Coturnix japonica: one gene and its partners. The protein of the gene in region 3 purifies or fractionates together with the protein of the main gene of each other region. This does not show direct contact. Links are inferred from orthologs where the notes say so. Each region holds a gene or a part of one and is shown on either strand. Other genes may lie near its edges.

Region 1 (3,568 bases), on a different chromosome or scaffold from region 3:
CTGCATTACTAGCAAAACACCTCCAACACAGCCTTGGGTAGAGGCACACCCCAACAATACTCGCCCTGTATCATCACTGTTCTTACCTCAAGGAGGATGTGAACTCTGAAAAAGAAGCCCAGCCAGTTTCTTTGGCTGGCATAGGTTCTTCTGTACTCCACACATCAGACCCAACAGAATCCAGATTGGTACCATGCGCAGTCTCCATGGGTACATCAAAGTTAGCTGACCAATTTGGTGCTAGAAAACCAACCAGCAAATTTATTAGGAACCAATTTGAAGAATACAAATGTACATATGCCTAACTCACCCATTCTCTATGTGCACATTCCAAAAAGAGCAGCAAAATTCTTAACTGCATTTTAAAGCACATGCAAATGGATTCTCTACGTAGTTAAAGCACGAATGTATTCTCTATGAGAAATTCTGCTAGTAAGGCAGAATTGGTAACTCTCAGTACTGAGAGAAAAATCAATAGCATAAATCTGAGGAACACAAAAACTACATTAGATTACAAGTGCAGTTGCACTTTACTCCTTAACCTAACATTAATGGTTGTTGTCGATTTTCAGCGCTAGTTTCTACACTTAAAAAACGAAACAAACAGCACCTTCAGGTTTTCCATCCCTTCTTCAGTTTCCTATGCACATTTTCCTCAGCACAGAAAATGAACAAGACAATGCAGGTACAGGCGGTCTCTACTATCTCATGCATTAGCAGCACTGCTAAGTTTCAGAAAAGCTTAAAACCCCTTATAACTTTAAAATATTTACTGGGATATTAAATTTTGGAGCAGTCTGGACTTAAGAAAATCTAATTTAGGATAGGTCAATTCAAAATACATCACCTACCCAAGGGAAACATTTTCTTCATCAACACTTACATACAAAAAAACAGGCTGAAAAGGAAGCTCTGACTAGCAATTAGAAATTCCAACCCAGGAAGATATGGGAGGAGACCCACATGGATCAAAACTTGTTTGACACACAGATGCCAACGACACCAATCTGACAAAAGAAAAGAAAACCCTTAACTATTCCTTCTATTGTAGTTTCTAATTCCTTACAGTCTAGATAAACACAGGGCTTTTGCCTACAGACGTTGCCAGTTTAAGTAAAGCAAGTTTAGTTTACAACTTGATTATGAGAACTCTTAGGCCAATTACAACAGTTAATTTTCCAAGGAAGAGCCCTGCTGATACACACTGTAAACAGGATTATTCACATACGAAACGACACCGATCTAAATCTATTTCCCTTCTGTAGAATGCGTTTTAAAAGAACATTTTAAGATGAAGTGTTGGTCTGAAAAACTTCTACTAAGAACAGCCATACTTTATGCTCCGAGATTAACAACCTATCAGGTATGCAAGCATACGAGATACGTAAATTGATTTTCATTTTTCCCATTCTGATTTCTACTCAGTTTTCCCTCTTGAAGAGTAAGGTGTGAATTTTAGAGAGACTGCAGTAACTTGCTCAGGACATGTAAAGAATTTTGATTCCCCAGTACCTGCATAACTGTGCAGCACACGGTCTTTACAGTGAGAGAGGTTAAGATACTTGGAATAAAAAACAATAGGAGGAAAACTCTTACAAAATAACTCTGTGCTAAATGTAGCACCTTCCTATAATTCCAAGCAGTTGGCAGAAAAGCTACGTACGTTCGTTTAAGTCTACTTCCATTTTGTCCTCCGTACTGGCGTGCGATTCAAACAGATCTTGTTTTGTTCCATCCTCTTCTTCAGAGTCAGTACTTTCCTCACTGTCCGTACTGCCCGAACTTAAAAAACAAAGAGACAGTTTACATGGGATTAGATCCTGGGCACAAAAGAATGCTAGAGAGTTTGAGGCTTAATAGAAACACAGCAGTTATTGCTAAATTGTAACTCTTTTCAAGATCAATGTAAGACAACAAGTTATTTTGAAAACAAACCCAAATGTATTCCAGTCTGTCCTCCTACATATATATTTTGAAACCTAGAGGTGAATCTCCCTTCCTAGTCAGCACAACCAGCATTAACAGTTAGGTAATGACATATCTAAGCGCATCCTTGAAACACATCACCTAGGCATGCACAATGCCAACATACAAAACAACTGCTTGTGTACAGGGCTTAGCCCCATGCACTCCAAAGGCCACAACAGAAAAAGCACATGTGGTTTGGGACTCAAATCACAGGAAGGTCAGAAAATCCAAAGCTATCCTGGGACAAAATTCAGAAGCCATCGGAGGCTGCATAGCCCTGAGTTCTGGGGAACAGATGTTCCTTTCCCTCAGTGCAGCTGCCTGTATAGTTTTATCCACAGCTGCAATATGATTAGGTGCAACTATGGCAACAGAAGTGGATACTCCAAACCTAGTAGCATTGTAGGATAGCAAGGTCTGCCTACACAGGTAGGGCTGCCTTGGGCCAAGCAGAGGGAAAAAAAAAGGAAACGTGCTTTGATGCAGAAAGAACTGAGTAGTCAGGATAGCAACGTTAAGCAAATTAAGGCTCAAACAAAGACAATAGTTATCCCTCTACCATCTTCTCTAAAGAATGGAAATGAAGATGGACAGCCTGTGCAAACAGCCAACCTGAGAAAGGGCTCGCTATAGTGCTAAACACAAATGTCTTACCTGGAACGTCTCTGGGACTCTGGTGTAAATGCAATATGTTTTTCTTCCCAGATGTCTTCTTCGTCTGAACCACCATCATCAAACTGCTGTATCCGCTCCTTACAGCATGCCTCAAACAATGCTATGTTGCCCTAAATACGGGAAAAATATAAAATTCTCTTTATAATTGATTATTCTACTTCAAGTATTTTGGAAATAAATGATTGGTTTGAAGAGAATCTTTAACTTGTGGGGAAGAAAAAGCACCACCCAGTAAGCACTGGAAAACCAGAAGACATTGACAGCTTTATGCTTCCCAGGAAAGCATACAGTGGAATTTGCTTTACTCAACCGCTAACACACTGAGAGCACTCATCCAACAACTGCTGGGAGGCTCCATCGCAATTCAGAATGGTGAGTAAGTGACAACAAAGAGCTTTCCACAAAACTGCAACAGCAAATATTCCAGCTTTATTGTTTGTAGTTTGTATCATTTCAGCTCAACTGACATGCAGCACATATGCTAGAAGTCTCTGTTCTTCACTTTCCGTCACCACTATCTTGGCAGAATGCTGAAACAGCGTCTGTGTTCAAAATGCGTGCGCAGTCTGCACTAACTAGATCCAAGCCTTTTCTTGAACCTGGACACACAAATTAGAAGCACTTGCTTAATATTAACCATAAAGAACAGCAATAAAGTAATCTAACTAGAAAAACCCCACAAGGCAGGAATAAGGTGTAGTTACTTTCCTAACGTTATACGTACGTCATAAAACAATAAACAAAAGCCACTAACAAAACTTAAAGGTCACTCAGAAGTTTAAGAGGCAGCAATTTTTCTGCAGGCACAAGAATGCATACTTACACTTTCATTTGTATTGAGGGTAAAGTTGATGTCTGAGACTCGATCAAAAGAAACGCTGCAAAATAAATGATGCATGAAATACACTAAGGAAAGACGATGCTA
Region 2 (3,568 bases), on a different chromosome or scaffold from region 3:
TAACCATCACTTAAGACCACCGGGAGCCACGGTTGGAATCACACAGCCCTCGTGTTCATCCCGCCTTGATTTAATCACACACAGCAGATATAGCAGGGAGAAAAGTGGGGCCTTTGCCCTGTGTTTGTCATTTCAGGTGGCCTTTGAATGTCAAATTCATGTTTAAATGCTTGTAAAGTCCATTATTGTCATTCATTGTCACTCCAGCATTGGTCAGTACTGCACTTGGGGGTCTCAGCCCTCACACTGTTAGAGTTTGGAAGGCAGCTTCCCTTGCTTTAAAGGCTCAAAGAGGTGGTGAAAGGCTTCGGATCATTCAAGAAGGTGGAAGCTAAGACTTAATAACAAGAAAACCCAGAAATGGGTATTTTTATGATTAAAAGCAGCTGTTGAATGTGACTAATAACCCAAATGCGTCTGCCCGACAGGCAGGAATGTGTGGAGCAACTCCTGAAGAATATGTTTGATGGAGAGCAGACTGAGAACTGCATCGTGAATGGGACGCAGGTTCTGCTGACATTGCTGGAGACGAGGCGCTCTGGGTAAGTCAACACGCTTCGATCCTGAATAGAAGGGTTTTAGCTATTCAAATCTGGTTTGTAATGAAGGATATAGCAAAGGTGAAGGTCTGGGGAGGGAGATGCTGAGAATCTCGCTTTCTTCTTTTAAAGGAGGAAATAGGAAGAGTGAAGGAGGCGATGGGAGGTTGGGGAGGGTTAGAGGGAGGAACTGACAGGAGATGGTGTTGGGTCGTTGTTAGGCAGCTGTGCATGGTTCATAGAATGGCCTGGGTTGCAAAGGCCCACAATGATCATCCCATTCCAACCCCCTGCTATGTGCAGGGTCACCCACCAGGCTGCCCAGAGCCACGTCCAGCCTGGCTTTAAATGCCTGCAGGGCTGGGGCATCCACAACCTCCTTGGGCAACCAGTGCATCACCACCCTGGGTTATGGCTGAAAAGCTGAGATGCTGCATCTCCTGTGCCTTGTGCCCTGCATCTCCGAGGGCTAATGACTTCCAGATATAGAGGTGCCCGTGTAGGTTGTTGGTGCTTTGCTTCAGTGCAAGCATTTCTCTTATTCCAATGTGAGACTGTGCTGTTAGAAGGGTCTGCTGATAATGCACTGCTAACCAGCAGAGGTGTGAGCCCAACTGCCCCCTTAGTATTATAGTGCACTCATTAGTGGCTTTAACAAACATTCAGTGGCACAATTTACTCCTTAAACATCTGTAAAGCTGGTAAGCACTGTAGTAATTCATCTTTGTCAGCCCCGCAGACAGCTTCTCCTCTGCCTTCCCACTCATTCACAATTATGATGATGTGAATATCATCTTGCAATTAACATAATGAGATGATGATGTAGTTACCTTCCGTGGCTGTCAGTGATCGTTCTTCACGTTCAGAGTTCTCTTTCAAGAGGAAATAGCCGATATGGGCAGTGTGAGTGGAGACCTATATGAGGTTTGGCCAAGCCCTGATTTGCGTGTTTTCTTTGTTGCAGGGTGGAAGGACTGATGGACTCATACACTCAGGGATTTGAAAGGTCTTACACTGTCAATAGCAGCATCTTACACGGCATTGAACCCAGGCTAAAAGATTTCCACCAGCTGCTGCTCAGCCCTCCCAAGGTAACGTGGCTCAGCCTTCCCCAGGAGCAAACAGCTGCTGGATGGATGGGGGGGGATTCCTCATCCTTATTTATGGGTTTTGTGAGGACTTTCTGAAAGCACCAAGTGTTGGCAAGGCAAACTCTACCTTAAATCTTTACAAGAAGGATTCACGCTTCAGGTTTGTAATACGAGTGCTTAGGAAGTTCAGGCAAAGTGTGAGGTTTTGGCAATTTGGATGGAGGAATCCCAGGTATATATAGAGACTGGGAGGAGCAGAGCTTGAGAGCAGCCCTGCAGAGAAGGAGCTGGGGGTGCTGGTGGCTGGAGAACTGAGCAGCAGCCAGCAGGGTGCTATTACAGCTTGGAGAGCAAATGGCATCATGGGCTCCATCAGCAGAGGGTAGGGCCAGCAGGGACAGGGAGGGATTGTCCCTCTCTGCTCTGCCCCATCTGCAGCTCTGCATCCAGGTGTGGACCCCTAATGTCCCCAAGATGGACAGGGAGCTGTTGGGAAGGGTCCATTGGAAGCCACAAAGATGCTCAGAGGGCTGCAGCACCTCCCCTACAAAGACAGGCTAGGGAGCTGGGGTGTGTTTCAGCATGGAGAAGAGAAGGCTGCGGGGTGACCTCATTGCAGCCTGCCAGGACCTGAAGGGAGCCTACAGACAGGAGGGGAGTCAGCTCTTTGAATGGGGGGATAACAGCAGGACAAGGGGAAATGGTTTGGAGTGGAAGGAGGGAAGATTGAGGTTGGATGTGGGGGGATATTGTTGATAGAGAGTGTTGGGTGCTGGACCAGCTGCCAGAGAGGATGTGGATGCCCCGTCCATCCCTGGAGGTGTTTAGTGCCAGGTTGGATGGGGCCCTGGGCAGCCTGGGCTGCTGTTCATTGTGGAGGTTGGTGGCCCTGCATGTAGCGGGGGGTTGGAGCTTCATGATCCTTGTGGTCCCTTCCAACCCAACCATGCTGTGGGTGAGGGGGGCACAGAGGAGGGAACACAGAGTCAATGGGTGTTTTGATCTTATGTTTGGGAAGTTCAGACCTCACAGCGCTCTCAGGTCACTGCTGAGTGGGAAGACACCATAGTTTTGCCTGCATGGAGTATTTATGTCTGAAGATGAGATGGTTCTATTTAATCAACCAGTTGTATGTCTGCAATGGGGGATTCATTGACCTTCACTGAGGTTCTCCACCATTTCTCCTATAGAAAACAGCGATCCTGACCACAATTGGAGTCCTGGAGGAGCCGCTGGGCAACGCTCGTCTTCACGGCTCTCGCCTGATCGCTGCTCTGCTCCACACAAACACTCCCAGTATTAATCAGGAACTATGCAGACTCAGTACCATGGATTTATTACTTGTGAGTAACACTATGTGGCACTGCAGGGGGTGGGGGTGGGGAATGGCTTCAGGCTGAGAGTGTCTTCGCTTTCCCTGTTGGGCACAGTGTGGTTTGTGTGCAGGTCACGTTATGTCCATATCCTACTAAAGGATACCAAGCAATTAATAGGGCAATGTTCTGACATCATTTGATTGCCAGAAGTGGGATGATGGATCCAGAATGACTTTCTTCTTGTTTCTCTTTTTGTTCCAGGATTTATTTTTTAAATACACGTGGAATAACTTTTTGCATTTCCAAGTGGAATTGTCCATAGCAGCTATTCTCTCACACTCTGTGCAAGAGGGAAGAACTACTGCCAATGACCCAGAAAGCAGAGAAGAGGTGCTGAATGGAAACGTGACCACAGAGAACCAAGAAACTCCAGAGAACAACACGGAGAATATCATGGTTACACATGTGAGTCAGGTCACATCGGCAGGGAATTCAGAATCATAGAATGGCCCAGGTTGGAAGGGACCTCAAGGATAACAAAGCTCCAACAGCCCATCACATGCAGGGCCACCAACATCCACATTGAACAGCAGCCCAGGCTGCCCAGGGCCCCATCCAACCT
Region 3 (3,568 bases):
TTAAAACCATTTCCCCTTGTCCTGTCACTATCCACCCTTGTAAACAGCTGTTCCCCTTCTTGTTTATATGCTCTCTTCAAGTATTTCAAGTAATTTCTCCTAATTATTTAACCTAAACCTTAGTTTAAAACCATTCCCTCTTGTCCCATCCACTCTCGTAAACAGCTGTTCCCCTTCTTGTTTATATGCTCCCTTCAAGTATTGAAAGGCCACAATGAGGTCTTCCCAGAGCCTTCTCTTTTCAAAGCTAAACAAACCCAGTTCCTTCAACACTTTCTGATACAAGAGGTGTTCCAGCCCCCTGATCATTTTAGTGGCCCTCCCCTAGACCTGCTCCAAGAGCTCAGCATCTTTCTTGTACTGGGGACCCCAGGCCTGGATGCAGTGCTCCAGATGGGGCCTCACAAGAGCTGAGTAGAGAGAGTGGGACAACCACTTCCCCCTCTCTGATGGCCACGTGTTTTTTAATGCAGCCCAGAAAACAGTTGGCCTTCTGGGTTGCAAGAGCACACTTATCTACAAACAATGATTGATAACACAAAGTACCAGAGAGGTCAGACTATGCATATACCTTGCTGCAAGCCAAATGGAGTGCTGTGTTCTTACAACTATCTTGCAAAGTCAGATCAGCCTTAGCACTGCTAACCAGCACCTCTGCAAGAAATAAAGGTTTGTATTAACTGAAAGCACAGTCTGTAAAGTCTTAACAGTTCACATTTGTGCAAAATGAATATGTTATTTTCACAAAATATATCCACAATGATCAACTGATAAGGTAGCTTCATCTGTTGTAAGATCAACACACTGAACAGCAGAAATAGATACTTTACCAACAGTATTTGTCTGTCCATTTTCTGCAGCCATCATTAAAGGTGTTTTCCCAGAAGCATCTACAGCATTTACTTGAGCATTGTGACTGAGTAGAAGCTGTAGACACTCAACGTGATCTGTAAAAGCTGCTGCATGAAGAGGAGTCCTGAAACAGATCACACGGTCATGCTCAGTTGTGCTTCCTACAGACAGACCTGACTGTAGGTACAAAGAGTGGGCAGTCATTCCCATTGATAGTTGGGATCAGGAATGTTAAGAGACAGGTGCCTTCGGGAAATTACCTTCAAGTTTCAAATACATAACTCTGATCTGTGTAGTTCACAGTATGGATACAATTTGATTCAGAGAAAAAAACATAAAATAATACATAAAATAATAGTCACAAAGGGATGCAATTTTAACTGTGCCTACATGACAAAAAGCCAATTCAGGTTTACTGAATCAGAACTAGATTTTTTTAAAAATCTCGATTTTTTTCTTACTCGGGATTTAAAATAATCTTCAAAGAACAAAAAAGGGGGAAACAGGAAATAATCTAAGTAGTCATAGAAAAAAAACACAAACAACAACAGAATTTAGCAGAGTGAATGCAAGCACTACATACATTCTTCCACCATACAGATGCACACTTACCTTCCCTTTGAATCTGTTGAATTTACAATACCAGCACCTAATGTATCAATTAACATTTCTGCAGCACCTTCATTGTCATTTATCCTACGAAGAATTAAACAAGCTGTTATTTACAGAATGAAAAATCTTTTGTTAAATACTGTGATAAAGTCTATGAAGAATAATTTTGCTTTTCCTTACACAGCACAATGCAATGGACTGAAAGCGTTCCCTTCCATTTTCTGGAAAACTTCTTGTTCCAGGAGGAGTTCTACACAGCTGTCGTGACCTGAAGCAAATGCAGAGATAGGAGTGAAGAAGAAGGGAAAAGACCTACTTATGATTTAGAAAAAATATTTATCTAAATCAGATTAAGCAACACTTTATTCTCGAGTTTTAAAGTAGTTTTAAAGTATAAGAAACTTCTATCAGTATTACCAATTGTATGTATTTAACTGTCACGCCATTTGATGAAGGAGAGGTTTTGCATTAAAAAGAATATGTGCTTGTCAGGAGAAAGTATACAAGAATGTGAAAACGGCCAGCATCTCCACTATTTGATCCTCAATTTTAACTTCACTGCTGAATACTTAATTCAGATTCAGAATGCTTTAGCAGTACTGGAAGTCCTTTATGAGACACTATGCCTACAGAGAGATACATTCCCCCACAGGACGCTTCCGTGTTTACCATTATAACAGGCCCAGTGCAGCGATGTATAGCCATGATTGTCTGCTATTGTAGGTACTGCATCCACAGATGTAGCTGACTGCAACAGAGCTCCTAGAACACCTATATGTCCACAAGCAGCTGACAAATGTATAGGGGTTCGCCCCCTACAGTCTCTTAATAAGGACTTAGCACCATGTTGAAGTAGTGCTTCCACACATTCCTCATGCCCAGTGACTGCCTGTGAGAAAGAAATGAAACAAGTTTGCAAATGTTCATGTAGTGAACAACGGAAAAAAAACCAGAAAACCAAAACTTATTTGGCACATATAACAATTTTATTCTATCTATTAACAATCTCCCCCACCCCATGACAAAAAGTCGTATTTTGGGTCTCCTGCAGTCAACAGCTTTTACAGCAACATTACAAGACTCAGGAAATCCAACAGAATTACTAAGCCCGTATTTTAACTCAGCATGTACAATACTGGAGAAGAAAGAAAGGAAATATTCTCTTACCCCTCTGTGTAATGCTGTCCTTCCCCACTTATCTTTGGCATCAACGTTTGCTCCTTTGTTAAGAAGTGAATAAACACAGTCCGTGTGCCCATTGAGAACGGACAACATCAAAGGAGTCCTACACAGAGAGGGAAATTAAAGCGTAATTTACACGGAAATCTAACAGGCCAATGCTCAGCTGGAACACACACAGAACGGCTGAGGTTGGCAGAGACCTTTGGGTTTACCAGGTCCAACCCCTGCTCCAGCAGGAACACCCAGATCAGGCTACTCAAGCTCATGTCCAGGTGGCTTTTGAAGATGCTAACAGAGGAGACTATATAACCTTTTTGGGGCAGCCTCTGTGCTCTGTCACCCTCACAGTAAAGAAAAACCTTCTGATACTCAGATGGAACTCCCTGTGTTTCAGTTTGTAGCTGTTTCCTCTTATCCTGGCACCAGGCACTACCAAAGAACACTGAAAATTTAGACTATCAATGAGCTTCTGTAGCACCACCTTAATTCCAAGAGTACCAGGAGATTCAAGAAAATTAATTTATTTCCACTAATTCAGAATTCCTGGCTGAAATATTCCCAACTGAACAAGATATTTTTCACTGCCAAAGCTGCTTATTGCAAAATACACACTTGTTTGTCTTAGTTCAAATATCACCTCCTTTGATAGCAACAAATTAAAAATCACCTATGTAAAATCTTATTTTTGCCCTTTTATAAAGTGAAGCAATTTGTGAATATTAGAATGTACATTTTTAAAACTTACTGTCCATTTCCATCTTGAATATCCACTGCATTCTGTGGTTCCGCATTTCCTATCAATAGTCGCAAACATTCAGAGTGACCGTTTGTAGCTGTAAAACACCAAAATATCAGTTTTATGAGAATTGTCTTCAAGTTTGCAGCAGAAAGAGAACAGCAACTTGCTCATACTAAGGCTCAA

Evidence for each region. The genes of interacting proteins can lie anywhere in the genome.
Region 1: the proteins of ANKRD28 (region 3) and PPP6R3 purify together in Homo sapiens (co-immunoprecipitation; 3 studies listed by BioGRID and IntAct, with this or other methods). This does not show direct contact. The link is inferred for Coturnix japonica from reciprocal best matches to the Homo sapiens genes ANKRD28 and PPP6R3.
Region 2: the proteins of ANKRD28 (region 3) and PPP6R2 purify together in Homo sapiens (co-immunoprecipitation; 4 studies listed by BioGRID and IntAct, counting the BioPlex papers as one, with this or other methods). This does not show direct contact. The link is inferred for Coturnix japonica from reciprocal best matches to the Homo sapiens genes ANKRD28 and PPP6R2.

What each region holds. Positions count from the first base shown.
Region 1 is NC_029520.1:8,199,146-8,202,713, forward strand, and holds part of PPP6R3 (serine/threonine-protein phosphatase 6 regulatory subunit 3), read right to left. Parts: intron 3,522-3,568; coding exon 3,467-3,521; intron 2,754-3,466; coding exon 2,623-2,753; intron 1,783-2,622; coding exon 1,664-1,782; intron 241-1,663; coding exon 87-240; intron 1-86.
Region 2 is NC_029516.1:601,900-605,467, forward strand, and holds part of PPP6R2 (serine/threonine-protein phosphatase 6 regulatory subunit 2), read left to right. Parts: intron 1-428; coding exon 429-542; intron 543-1,503; coding exon 1,504-1,630; intron 1,631-2,820; coding exon 2,821-2,973; intron 2,974-3,207; coding exon 3,208-3,411; intron 3,412-3,568. UniProt on the Homo sapiens protein: Regulatory subunit of protein phosphatase 6 (PP6). May function as a scaffolding PP6 subunit. Involved in the PP6-mediated dephosphorylation of NFKBIE opposing its degradation in response to TNF-alpha.
Region 3 is NC_029517.1:31,165,009-31,168,576, forward strand, and holds part of ANKRD28 (serine/threonine-protein phosphatase 6 regulatory ankyrin repeat subunit A), read right to left. Parts: intron 3,480-3,568; coding exon 3,392-3,479; intron 2,750-3,391; coding exon 2,632-2,749; intron 2,354-2,631; coding exon 2,134-2,353; intron 1,733-2,133; coding exon 1,645-1,732; intron 1,549-1,644; coding exon 1,465-1,548; intron 977-1,464; coding exon 831-976; intron 655-830; coding exon 572-654; intron 1-571. UniProt on the Homo sapiens protein: Regulatory subunit of protein phosphatase 6 (PP6) that may be involved in the recognition of phosphoprotein substrates. Involved in the PP6-mediated dephosphorylation of NFKBIE opposing its degradation in response to TNF-alpha.